2 linked regions of the Medicago truncatula genome follow. The protein of the gene in region 2 binds, or shares a complex with, the protein of the main gene of each other region. Links are inferred from orthologs where the notes say so. Each region holds a gene or a part of one and is shown on either strand. Other genes may lie near its edges.

Region 1 (5,932 bases), on a different chromosome or scaffold from region 2:
AAGTTGCAGTCAATATATCATTCCAGATTATTTCAGGCTGCCTCGCTAAAGTTATCGATATCACCGACTCATTTTGTAATTTGCAAAAAACACCACATGTCTACATTTTTCAAAAAGGTTCCACCAAACATACAAAAGGAGTGATGGCAAAGTGTGAAGAATACATTACAAAGTGAGCACTAAAACGAGAAAAGTTTCTCGATTTGTATATGTAACAGAAGCTACAAGAATCCTCTTGGTTAAGATATAAAACCAATTTCTTTGAAAACCATAAACAGTAACAGTTATATATGCCAACCCAATTCAGTAAATCAGCACCGAAGGGCGAAGGGGGCTAGTGCTACACTAAAAGTGAGCACTGTTAGAGAAGGCAGTACTTTGAGTAGCTCAAATCATTTAGCAATAAGTTATGCTAGGGACCGACTTTGAACACCAACAAGAATCAGAAGACAAATGTTAGTCTGCCCCATTATATTATCAAATATCTAAAAGAGATGAAAAGAAGAGAGAAAAAAAAAAGCATAAAGGTAAATGCCAATCGAGACAAGCAATGTCGAAAAGAAAACAATTATATAATTGTACTCTAAGAAGTTAAGTACATTGTATTGTGCAGAAGGAAATGCAAATTTCTTTCGAAGCATCAACTTCAAACTTTAAATCACTAAGTACCAACATAAGCAACAAAAAAATAAACCTACTTTTTAATGGATTTTTTCTTTGCAGCTACATTCGAAGATGGTTCTGGCTTTGGATGCTTTTCTGCTTCGCTCGGGTCTAACCACTTAAGAGGATGATGGTTGAAGAAGGGCCAATTGGGAATAGTGACTAATGTGGTGAGAATAACACCACCAGCATATATGAGGATCATTGTTTGGAAAGAAGCCGTGATATATCCAGCTCCAAACGCAATCACAGCAAATGCTAGCAGCAGTATCTGCATCAGTTGCTCTGCTAGCTTTTGACCTTCCCAATCCATCTAATCCAACAAAGACAATCAAGAGAAAACACTTAACCACTAAGAAATGAATGCCAAAAACATTACTTTAAAAAAAAAAAAAAACACAAAACACAAGGAATATTTAAAGCCATGAAAAGGGTTATACATTTTTTTTACGGTAAAAAAAAACTTCATTCAAATGCTAAAATAGCGAGGGTACAATCAAATTGGTTACGAGGTGAGACATTCCCCATCCATATTTTGAAAGCCAAATACATGTTATCAATACACATAAAAATTTCAGAAAGCAAAAGTAAATTAACAAACCAAACTCTTTCATTTGTGAAAGGGGTTATACATGTTTATGATGTCCTTACATCTAATACTTAAGATTGCATTTACTGATAAACAGCTTAAATCACAAACGTATATAATATAAGTACTTATGTATAAGCTATCTATTTCTATAGCAATAGACACAATAAAGTCAAACTGTTTTCATATAAACAACAAGTTATTTTCACAAACTATCCGAGAGAGCATATGGAAATAAGCTGTAAAACAGCTTATGGACATAAGTCAGTCCAGTTTTAAAATGCTTATAACTAGATCTATTATGGCGATATTATGTTATTAAAATTTTTAAAAAAAAATAAAAAAAAATATCAAAATTGAAAATCAGTGTGTACCTAAAAGCTGGTTGTGAAAGCGTATAAAAAGGGAATATGCAATGAAAATTGGAAAAGAAAACGAAAGTAAAAACGGAGTGTGATGATACCTTATGAGAGAGAAACGGAGAAGAAGGAAGAAGGTGGTGGTGTTGATCGATCGAATTCAATTCAATGTCTTTATGAATTTTAATCTCAGCTTTTCTTACCCTTTCTAACTTAACATTAGATATACGTAATGTTTTTACTCTCTGCCAATTAAAATTATACACGTCGATTATTACACGTAATGTCTTTATGTTTTTACCGTTCCGTAATTCCAAAAATTGGCTCCGCAGCAAAATTGCTGCAACATATAAATTGTTTCTTTCCCTCAAAAAAATAAAAAATACATTGTCTCTTCATCTTTCCTAAAAAAAAATTGTTTCTAAATTATAACCGATGGATTATTATTTTTAAATATTTGCTATTTTATCTGTGTTTACATTTATAATCTACAACTCATTTTTAATCCACTCAGCTCTTCGCCAAGATCTAATTTAACTTCTTCAAAGTATATTATCTATTATTGTTGAATGAAGTTGGTTTTAAAGCTTTTTGTATTTTAAATGAGGTTGTTTGCAGTTTGTTTTTAATCCTACATTACTCAAAAAATTTGACATTGAGTAACTTAAATATTCATTGTTAAAGATTTAACAAGATAAAAATTAAAAAAAAAACATATTTTTTCAAAAAAGATATGTCAAAAATGACTTTTACGATGAGTTATTCAAATATGTTCTCATTTTAAGCATTTTTTTATTTTATCATAAAAAAATCATAACAAAATTAAAAAAAAAAATACTTTTAATTTTAGAATGGTCACTTTTCTCACTTTTACTTATATTGCATTTGTTCACGGTAAACATATTTCGTAGAAATGTTAAAATTGTTTTCTTTGATGATGATTTTAAAGAGACATTTAACATAATACATTCACAATCTATTTGGGGTTGGCTTAGTGGTTGACTTGAGATTTTGAAGTGTGCTTGCTTTTCTCAAGGTCTCAGGTTTGATTCTTATAGTGTCAATTTCGGCGGGCAAATCCATACAGTACAGGCTTAGAACGGGGTCTCCGCAAGTGGACGGTAGAATTGGTCCATTCGAATTAATCGATCATTGAATCGGATATTGAGTTTTCAACCAAAAAAAAAACATAATACATTCACCCGGTGTTTTTCATAATCCAAAGAAAGTTTGTAAGTTAAAAAAATGCCCCCATGAACTTAAACAAGGTCTAAATTTCAATGCAATATACACAAAATGAATAATTAACTTTTAAGATAAATGATGTTTCTAAAATCATTTTAGAATATTTTTTTTCTTTTGAGACAAAAACTATATACCGCTAAAAGTTGTTCTAAAATGATCGTTCAATATCATTTCTCCAAATTTTAATATCCGGCTTCAAAAAGTGTGAAATGAACCTACCCTGCGTTTTGATGTCTCAAACTCCATTGTGACCATTTTCCATCCATCATTTGTGTTTCCTCTGTTTGTGTCATAAGCTTCTAATAACTCTTGTATGCAATATTCAGTCGCGAACTGCACATACCTTCCCATGTTATGGTTACAAATGGTTCAGAGATTAACACTTGTTTGAAATTTAGACAATTCAATCCAAGCAGACCATAAGATAGTACTTATGGTTTTAAAAAATTGTAATGGTTCTAGTTGTATTGAAATTGCCGAAAATAGCTAACAAATGTGCTGATGTGCCACAACTGCGGCTGCAATATGGTCCCAACAACCACAATGTGCTCATAGACTTTAAATTCAAAACATATGATTAAAGTGCTTAAACCAAATCTAGATCAAGTGAATAGACATTTTAATTAGCCCTTAAAGTAAGCGTTAAGTTCATCTTCAAATTTACGAAATAGGAACTTAATACCTTAATTGAAAAGAAGAAAAAAAAAGCAATTAATTCATTCCTTCAATCAAAGTGTATTTTAAACTAAATTTTTGTCATCACAAACAATGCCAATGAAACTGCACCCCCGCCAACAACACAAAATTGACATGTCAGCGATGTACAGAAACAGTGACATTGGGACAACAATAAAATGCCTCATGCATATTCACTTTGTTAAAGTTTCAGTTCACATGTGATGTTAATGTAGAACAAGTTCACATATGTTAATTCCTTTGGTGGCAATGTGGGACTAAAAACACTTTTTACTTTCTTTCTACTCCTCACACCTCACTTGCCACTCACTTGTAATAATATTACTTGCAGTTCCATATGCAAAGCTTTTGTGCTGCTAAATTAAAATCATGTTTGGGAGTTCAGTATTCTGTTTAAATTGCCAAACCTAGTATCAAGATCCAGGTTCAATCAAGATGACATCAAGTTCAATTTCATAAAGTGCAATCAATGTTTTACAAGTCTGATGGAGAACAACTTTGCTATGTCGGAACGGTACTATGATAAAAATCTAGTGGCTATGGATCCATTTTAGATGAATATTTTGTTGAGCCAACAGAAGAAAAGAAATAAAAAAATCAAAAGTTGAACGTCAAAGACCCTTAAGAGATTTAGATATCATATCATTAATCAAAACCTTATTTTATTAGGTAAATAAGCCACATCCCTTATATATTCAACATTTAGTTCATTGATAGTCGACCTGATATTAACCACTCACACTTGAATCCAACACTTAAATGTCAAAAACAACAAGCATTGAAATATTGTTAGCGTGTTTATAGGCATGACTTAATCTTCAATGGCAACATCTCCAAATTATTAGCTGAATTCAAGGAGAATGTTACGACACAATTTGAAATACATGGATCTGATATCTTACTTATTGGCCACTGAGGTTAAACAAATGTCTGAAGAATTCTAAAATGAAAACTTGTAAACCAATCTTACAAAGATTAAAGCTTACAAAAGGTGGGGGTAACCTTGTCAATGCAACTAATTTCATAGGTTTAAAGGAAAATATAAGATATTTAACTACAACAAGACCTTACATATCTTACACATTGGGATGGTAAATTATGAATTAATGTCGACAATCTAATTAGCAAACAACAAAATGGATTAGAAGATATATTAAAGGTGTAATTGTGATGCATTTGAAGTTAGCACCAGCTGATCAGCCCTCAAGTGATGTGAAATACATGAGAAAGTACCATTACTTATAAACAAACATAATTCTGATGGTCCTTACCAAGCTAAATTCTTGTTGATATTCACTTTGCTCAAGCACAAATTAACGATCAGATTCGCAAGAAGATTGATAGCTAAGAAAGCAAATCTGCATTATTAATATAAAAATCAAATCACCATAACAATAGACTTATGGACCTAAGGCTTCAGATTCAAAAAAGAATAATAAAACTACTTTTTAATGGATTTCATCTTTATAGTTACATTCGCTTTGGATGCTTTGAATCACACCTCCGGCATATGTGAGGAATGATGATCATTGTTTGGAAACAAAAAAGAGAAACATGATTATGGTGGACCAACGTTGATACCGGAAAGAATTTTGAACTCGGATGTTACCATGAAAATAGTGCTAGCCAGCACTATCACCATGGTATGCGCTACAAGAGGTGGCAGAATACACATAACACAAACAGACAGTAACATGTTTGATTCTCTTTTCAAAAACTATTTTTAATTTTTAAAAACTAAAACACAGTTTTGAGAGGAGATTCTAACAAGCCTACATATGAAACAGTGTTATTGACAGTTATTTAAAACAAGTTAATGAATGCAATGTTTCTTTGCAGCGATGTGGGACTACAAAGCATTGTTTATTTCTACTATCTACTCTCCAATTCCACCCTTAACTTGCTACTTTAAATAATATCGGTTCCACTTAGTTGCAGTTCTATAATCAAATTGTACACCCATGGTGTTTGTCCTTTAACCATTTTGTCTAAGCATTCTCATAATCATCACTGTTACAACAATTTTGCATTAGCAGTTCCATTTAACTTTCTTATTTTTTATTGCACTTTATTATTAACAATTTGAGAAAGAAAAAAAATACAATTGTGATAAACATTGCGATAAATAAAACTACAAACAGTAAAAACAAATAGTGAATGGGGGTTTTAGGAAGGATAAATTTATAATTAATGAAGTACAAAATTTATCATATACACGTAATTTTTACTCGCTTCCTATTAAAACTATACACATGGATCAATGTTTCACTCCATTTGAATTAACATCTTTACCCTTCCGTTAGTTCCAACAAAATTCAATTCAAATGTCACCAAAAAATCTCTCCAACATAGAAATTGTCTCTTTTTTTAGGGTCTCAAA
Region 2 (7,248 bases):
AGGTAAAACTAAAATGACATATGAATGATTTCACTCACATTTTCTATTACGTAAGTTTTAAAATTTCCGCAACATTAGACTAAAGATTGCTTTGTGTAACTAGATATTTCTTCTCGGAGCTGTCGCTAAGCTTGGAGCTACAGTTGTAACCTATCCTCTTCTTGTTGTAAAGGTATATCATGCATTCATGCCATTTTTTGCGTTGTGTTTGTTAATATACTCCATTGTCAATAGTCGATATGTTTCATTTCTTAATTACATTGTGCTGGCATATCATTATTCTTAAGAACAAAAGGAGGAAGGAACTGACAAAATTAAACCAGGAAAGTGCATCCAAAATATTGTTCTGAATCTGTTTTGTTGATTTTGTTGCTATCGCAGGCAAGGCTTCAAGCTAGACAAGTTAACAATGGAGACAAGAGACACAATTATAAAGGTTTAAGTTGCGACAATCTTTTCTTATTATACCGTGAATACGGTTCATAATCCAATAGCTGCGTGTTTTATATGTACTTTCGATCTGGTTTTCCAAATGCGAGGTCATGAGCCCTGCTTTGCTTGAGTTAGATTATGATTATTGCTCTTGACTCTTGTTTAACATTGTTATAAATGCTTCTGCTATTGCTTCCCTGTCAATATGCATATTGGCCAAGTCAGCATAAGGAAATACTATGTGGCATGGCATCCATGTTTATTTGCTCTTAATAATTTGAACGGTGTTAGGTAGTATGAAGCACTAGCATGGACACCGGACACAGCAGAAGGGATTGTATGTAATTATTAGTGTCAGTGTCGTGTCGGTGCCCAGGACACTCGGACATGCCTTTAATCTCAAGTGTCAGTGCGACATATAGTTTCAATGAAGACTATAGTGATAATAACATTATAGAACTCATGTGTAGACTAGATCAAAATTATAGTGATTTAGGGACAAAAAAAGATGTTTTTACTCCTTATATTCTTTGATTACACTCTGAAGCAGTATGTTCTTCAAATTCAGGTACACAGGATGCTATTATTAAGATGATACGCTATGAAGGGTTTAATGGATTTTACAAAGGTATGGGAACCAAAATTGTACAAAGTGTTCTTGCTGCAGCTGTTTTGTTTATGGTGAAAGAAAAACTAGTTGAGCAGACTCGTTCCTTGCTTGCGAAGAATGTTCCCAACACTTTAAAGCCAAAAGTTGTGTGATTTGGCAAATCAAGTATTTTAGTTTCCCTCAGATTCAATGATTCACGAACCATCTTTATTTAGCATATTCAATTTAATCATAGGAAATAGACTGTGCCATTGAAAAATTTGTTACTTCATGAATAGGAGATTAAAATACGGCTTTAAAGTTTAAATATGATTATTATTCAAGACATGCTTCCAAATGGAAATTTGTGTTTAAACTTACATGCTAAGTCACTTGTATGTCATTTATAATATTTGCTTTCTCACTTTTGATGTAAAATTCTATGTTCAATAAATGGAAGTTGTAGTATTTTTTTCTGGCATCAAATTGTATATTCTATCATGTCCATCAAACCGACCCTAATATAGTCGAATGGTCAGCTAGTACTCACATATTGTTTGGTTCCAAATTATCTTGCTAGTGGATGATAAAGAAGTAACCATGCACCTCCACAATAGCAAGAATACTTATGATATGTTTGGATTGAGGGTTTTGGATAGAACATGAGGGGGAAACTTACGATTCTCTTCTAAATCACGGATGCTAACATATTTTCTCGAATCAATTAAATGTGATTGAAGTATTATATGATAACTTTCATGTTATTCTTTGAATTTTTTAAAGGTCGAATTAGTTTTCACTTTTCTCATAGTACTATATATTTTTGCCCTGCTAGGGACTCAAAGTGGTCATATATGGCCAACACCCTATTGAATAGGTTGAACAGACAAGTGAGAACTGAAAGCTTCTATTAGGTTATATTTGACTATAAAAAAAAGGAGTTAAATGCAATATTAACAAGTGTTTTGTTTTCTTTTTGAAGAAGATTAACGTGTTTTATTTATAAATAAAAAAAAAACCTCCAGCTATTTAATACAGTGATAAAAAAGTATGGATTTTATTTAATTGGGTAAAAAAAACTTATTATGGATTTTATTAAAGGGTCCTGCTAACCGGTGCCCCCGGGGCATTGGTTAAGCATACCATAAAAGAGAATTATTACCATAAAGAAAACTGTTTTTGACTTTATTATAAATTAATTACACAATTTCAATGTATTAACTACTATATAATTTCCTTTTTCATATCCTTAACCAGTGTCCCGGGGGCACCGGTTAGCATTTCCCTTTATTAAATTATGTGAGAAGGCGGACGATGCTTCAATATGTAGTGAATGCTCTTAAATCTTTTTAACTGTGTTAAACATTTTTATTTTTACTACTTATTTATGTTTTTTTTAAAACAAAACTCTTTTATGTTTTTAACATAGTTAATATATTTCTACCAAAAAAAAACATAGTTGATATATCTTTTGAAGCATTTCCAAACTTTTACATGATGAAATGCTTCATTATTTTATTAATCAAATAGTATTCCCTTCCCAATAAAAGTTTTTTTCTTTGAAAAAAACCTTTTAGGAAAAGTCAAATCTATATAAAAGTTTTACATATTTTGACTGACTGATTGTATTTTGGAGTGGTCTTTTTAGTATATCTTGTGCTAAAGAGGTTCCACTATCGTAGTAATATATTCCATTTTTAATTCTTAAAAAAAATAAAAAAGGATTTTCACAAGCAATTATTTTGTGAAAATATTTGTTTTTTTCCTCGCGTTTTAATAAAACATTATCATAAAAAAGTTAAATATTACATTTTCTTTTCAAAGGAAGTTAATAACGAAATTACACTTTTCGAAAGAAACAAATAACTTTGTAAATAAAAAAAACAAATAACGAAATTATACACAAGAGTTATGAAAATTTGCAGATTATAATTTGAACTCTAACATATCTAATATCTTTGCAAACTTTTTTTTTAGCAAGTCTTTGCGAGCTTTTAACATTTGTAAAGATTAATAAAACATTCACTGCCAAAAAAAAGATTAATAGTAAAACATTGTTTCAAAACTTTTATATGCTATCATAGGGGACAAACACGATTACACATTCGTGTAAAGTTAATTTACACCGGTTTCTCTAAAAAATTACCTGCGGGAAGTGCTTTTGTGGCTTTTGAATTGGAGTTTTACTCGAATGACAGAAGAACTAAATATCAAGCTAGTGTCATACCTCAAAATTTAGTACTATTTTAAATGTTTGTAGATTTTTTATTTTTTTCTTTATCAAAGTTCGGTAAAGTTTTATTGGAACACAAACTAATAAACTAATAAAGTTGTTCTTTTGTTAACCAGAGTGACATTGTCTATTTGTCTTTATCATAGCACATATTTTTATATTTTAACATGTATTATAACTATTTGATGAATAAAATGATTTAAGTTTGTGTTTGTCAAAAATAATATGTAAAATTTATTTAAATTGAAGTAGTGATATTTGTACAACGATTTTGTGATAATTTTTATAATCTTCTTTTTTTATCTTATAAAATAGTTGTACAAATATTATGTTACATTATTCGTTATTTTTATTTTCCTAATTCATTTGTGGCATTGATTTTTTTTTTGTGGTGGCCGGAGTTCGAACTCCGAACCTTGCATATTTTATGTATTATCGATAACAACTGAGTTAAGCTTACGAGGATAGTATGACACTGAGTTTTATTTTAATTTTTAATCTCATTCAATTAAAAATAAAAAATAAAATGCAATTCTCTAGTGTCATTTTACATGGGTTGAGTCCATATAGAGTTCTATTATGGTTTTAAATGATGTCATACAAGTTATATTACCAAATTTTAAAAAATTAATAAATAAAAAATGTAATAGATTTTTTATTTTTTAAAGGAAAAAAATTTAGTAGACTTGTAACCAAAAAAATAAGTTTAATAGAATTTTTTTCAGCAAGTTATTATTTTTTTTTGAGGGATTTAGCAAGTTTATTAGAATTAGACTTCCATCCAATCGTATTTTGCCACATAATTTATCCAATCAAATATTAGTATTGATATAATGCAAAAATAATAAAATCTGATTGGACCAAAATCTTACAATGACGTGCATCGTCACTTTCTGATGTAACAATCAATAAAATAAAAACGAAGGTTTTTATTATTCAGTGCGCAAATTCTCAGTTTTATTTCTTCTTCTCATCTGGGTCAAGCGAAGTCTCAGCGAAGAATTCGAAACATGGCAACCAAAGGACAGAAGAAAGCGAATCTGTTAGATCACCATTCAATCAAGCACATTCTCGATGAGTCTGCTTCTGAGGTTCGTTCGTTAAACCCTAATTTTTTTGATCTTGTTGTTTTTTGACGAATTTTGTTGTATTTTTGTTTATTAATTGGGATTGAATTGGTTTGAATTTTGGATTGTAGGTTATAACGGGTCGTGGGTATGTTGAGGATGTGAAATTGAGCAATATTAGGTTGTTGCTTGGGTCTGTTATCATCGTCATTGCTCTCTTTGCTCAGTTTTACAAGAAGAAATTTCCGGAGAATCGCGATTTCCTTCTTGCTTGCATTGCCTTATATCCTTTCCATACTTTTTATTTATTCACTGTGTGTATATGTGTGTGTGTTTAATTTAAAAAATATATATACATGCTTGATGATATTGCCTAGTGAGAGAGAAAAATTGGATTTTTTTGTTTACTGTTGTCAAATAGTGGATATAATGTTGATATAGGGTAGCCGAGTTTTAACAAACCACGTACACAGACACAGACATGGATATATCAGTACTAATTTAAGAAAATGGCATAATTGAATGAGATCACATGTGTCGATGTTGTGTCAGAGTCGGTTACGGTTTTGATCAGATGTGCCGGTGTTACAGAGCAAACCACTATTGATTCACAATATGCAATTTAGAAATTAAAATAAAAAGTGTTGTGAAATAACAATTATAGGAGAACTATATCACTGTAGCCTACTGGAATTTTAACAAACTGCTATTTTCTGTGATTTGTGATTGACGGTACTGTTTTTGTTATGTTTTTTATGGTTTGGATGGGGATAATTTGATAAATAAATATCTAAATTAAGGATTTTTCAAAATGAGAACTCTTTTTTGTATGTAGGAGTGTGTTTTTGTGTGTGTGTGTGTGTTCAAATTGAAAGGAGTGTGTGTTCAAATTAAAAGGAGCGTGTGTATTGGAAATGAAATATCTGCAATTAATTTTTTGAAGTAGAGTGGGATGTGGGAATTGTTTAAATTGAAAGGTGTGTGTGTGTATTGAAAATGAAATGTTTGGAATTAACTTTTTGAAGTAGAGTGTGATGTGGTAGTTGCTTTAATTGAAAGTTGTTGAGGTTTTTGCCTAAATGAATTTGATGATTTATGTGAAAAGGGATATGGGATTGTTTGTGTTTGTAAGTCTACTCATTCTTCTGCTTCATTGTTGTTTGATCCTTGACTCTCGTACGTATGTAGTCTTCAACTTGGTATTGCAGCTGATCATATACACTAAGGAGAAGAATGCCATTCTGTTTACTTATCCTCTGACTGTAAGTTTCTGTGAACTTAGCTAAAGCACATTCCTTTAAATAGCCCCCTGTTTTGTGCACTGATTCAATTGTTGTTTAATCTGACCATTTTAATCCACTTTCAACATATAGAAATAACATTTAAGAATTGTCATATTTCTATAATCTATTGTGTGCCATTTTGTGTCTGTTAGAGAAAGGGATTGAGACAAGAGTATACCTTTTTCTTACTGTTTCAATTAGCATGTTCCTTTTCCTCTTTTGGAGGGACAAATAATGCTAATGTCTGGTTAGTTTATTTAGGACTGTACTATAGTAAGGCATAAAGATACATACAAATACATTTATTTGAAGATGACTGTTTCAGCTCAAGAACCATGATAAACATTAAGCACTCATGTTAAACAGGGCATACACGAAGTTGACAAATAGCTGAAACTAATTGTGGTTTGATAAGCGAGTAATATTTATTTTATATTTAGTTGCATTTAACATTTTATTATGTATGGGCAAATAAATTAATGCTAAGGGACACTCTTTTCAACACTCACTTTCTTATTGGGACTCACATTGGTTGCACCCAATAAGAGAGTGGATGTTAGAGTGAGTGTTGAAAAAAGTGTAGCAATCCTCTGGGTAAATATAATCCGGTAGCACTCTATCATGTTCTCTACATCCTTTTTTTGAATTTCAATTTAAGTTGATAAAAGTTACAGCAGGATAATTTTTCACATCCATGGGTTAAAAACAAGGCTACCAAACTATTTATGCAGATTATGGCATGTCTTTAGGTTGAAAATTTGACCAGGATAGTGCCGCCTTTATCTTTGTTATTCTAAGTTTCATTCATTTTCATATGAAATTTGAGTTGACCTAAACTACTAAAGTTCTTTATGGTTTTGGTTGCTTTGAATCATAATTTGGATGTTGCTTCATTTTTCAATAGTGATTTAAAGAGGGTAAGTCATGACATGTATCAATTAGTGTCACGTGTGATGATGCAAACTGTTCGGTGTAGACTGTAGATATCTCATGTTTTGTCTTTGTAGTGGCTGCTGGTGATAGAATATATTATTTTCATTTATCTAAAAAAGATTTAGGTTCGTCTTTGAACTGTGTTAACAAATCAAGTAATGCTTTTGATTTTATTCTCTCAGCAGAAGTTTCAGACATACATCAGTGTGTTCCAACTTGGCTTTTATTTCTTTTTTACAGGGTTCCTTTACCAGTACCGGTTTGGTAGTTTCCTCCAAATTACCCAGATTTTCTGACATGTACACACTTACCATAGAAAGCGCCGATCCAAAATCGGTTTCTGCAAATGAACCAGTACATCTTACCAAAAGTGTTACCCAGTGGTATTTCTCTTTTTCCCTTCATCTCTTATATAATATCCCTTATATAATCATTCACACAGACACCGGACATGTGAATCAGTAATCACGCGTGCATTGATTTTTTGGTAATCGAAATGCATCAATCTGTCTTTTGTTTGGATTTCAGGTTCACTAAGGATGGAGTCTTGGTCGAGGGCCTCTTCTGGAAGGAAGTTGAAGCTCTAATTGCTCAATATACAAAAGAACCAAAGAAGAGTAAGTGATATGGAGTCATGAACTTAGTTCTGCAAAGAGCTTTTATGAGGATAAACATGTATTTGGATGTGGTTTACATTTCTATACATTTTCA

What was found.
Region 1: probable signal peptidase complex subunit 2 (region 2) and probable signal peptidase complex subunit 1 share a complex: the UniProt entries of both Arabidopsis thaliana proteins name them as parts of the signal peptidase complex. The link is inferred for Medicago truncatula from reciprocal best matches to the Arabidopsis thaliana genes AT2G39960 and AT2G22425.

The regions. Positions count from the first base shown.
Region 1 is NC_053049.1:38,610,082-38,616,013, forward strand, and holds probable signal peptidase complex subunit 1, read right to left. Parts: upstream 1,871-5,932; 5' UTR 1,716-1,870; intron 977-1,715; coding exon 695-976; 3' UTR 552-694; downstream 1-551. UniProt on the Arabidopsis thaliana protein: Component of the signal peptidase complex (SPC) which catalyzes the cleavage of N-terminal signal sequences from nascent proteins as they are translocated into the lumen of the endoplasmic reticulum. Dispensable for SPC enzymatic activity.
Region 2 is NC_053046.1:36,325,937-36,333,184, reverse strand, and holds the start of probable signal peptidase complex subunit 2, read left to right. Parts: upstream 1-4,172; 5' UTR 4,173-4,264; coding exon 4,265-4,345; intron 4,346-4,452; coding exon 4,453-4,604; intron 4,605-5,501; coding exon 5,502-5,583; intron 5,584-6,777; coding exon 6,778-6,920; intron 6,921-7,065; coding exon 7,066-7,162; 3' UTR 7,163-7,248. Other genes in the region: peroxisomal nicotinamide adenine dinucleotide carrier, read left to right, coding at 104-172, 382-436, 1,001-1,194. UniProt on the Arabidopsis thaliana protein: Component of the signal peptidase complex (SPC) which catalyzes the cleavage of N-terminal signal sequences from nascent proteins as they are translocated into the lumen of the endoplasmic reticulum.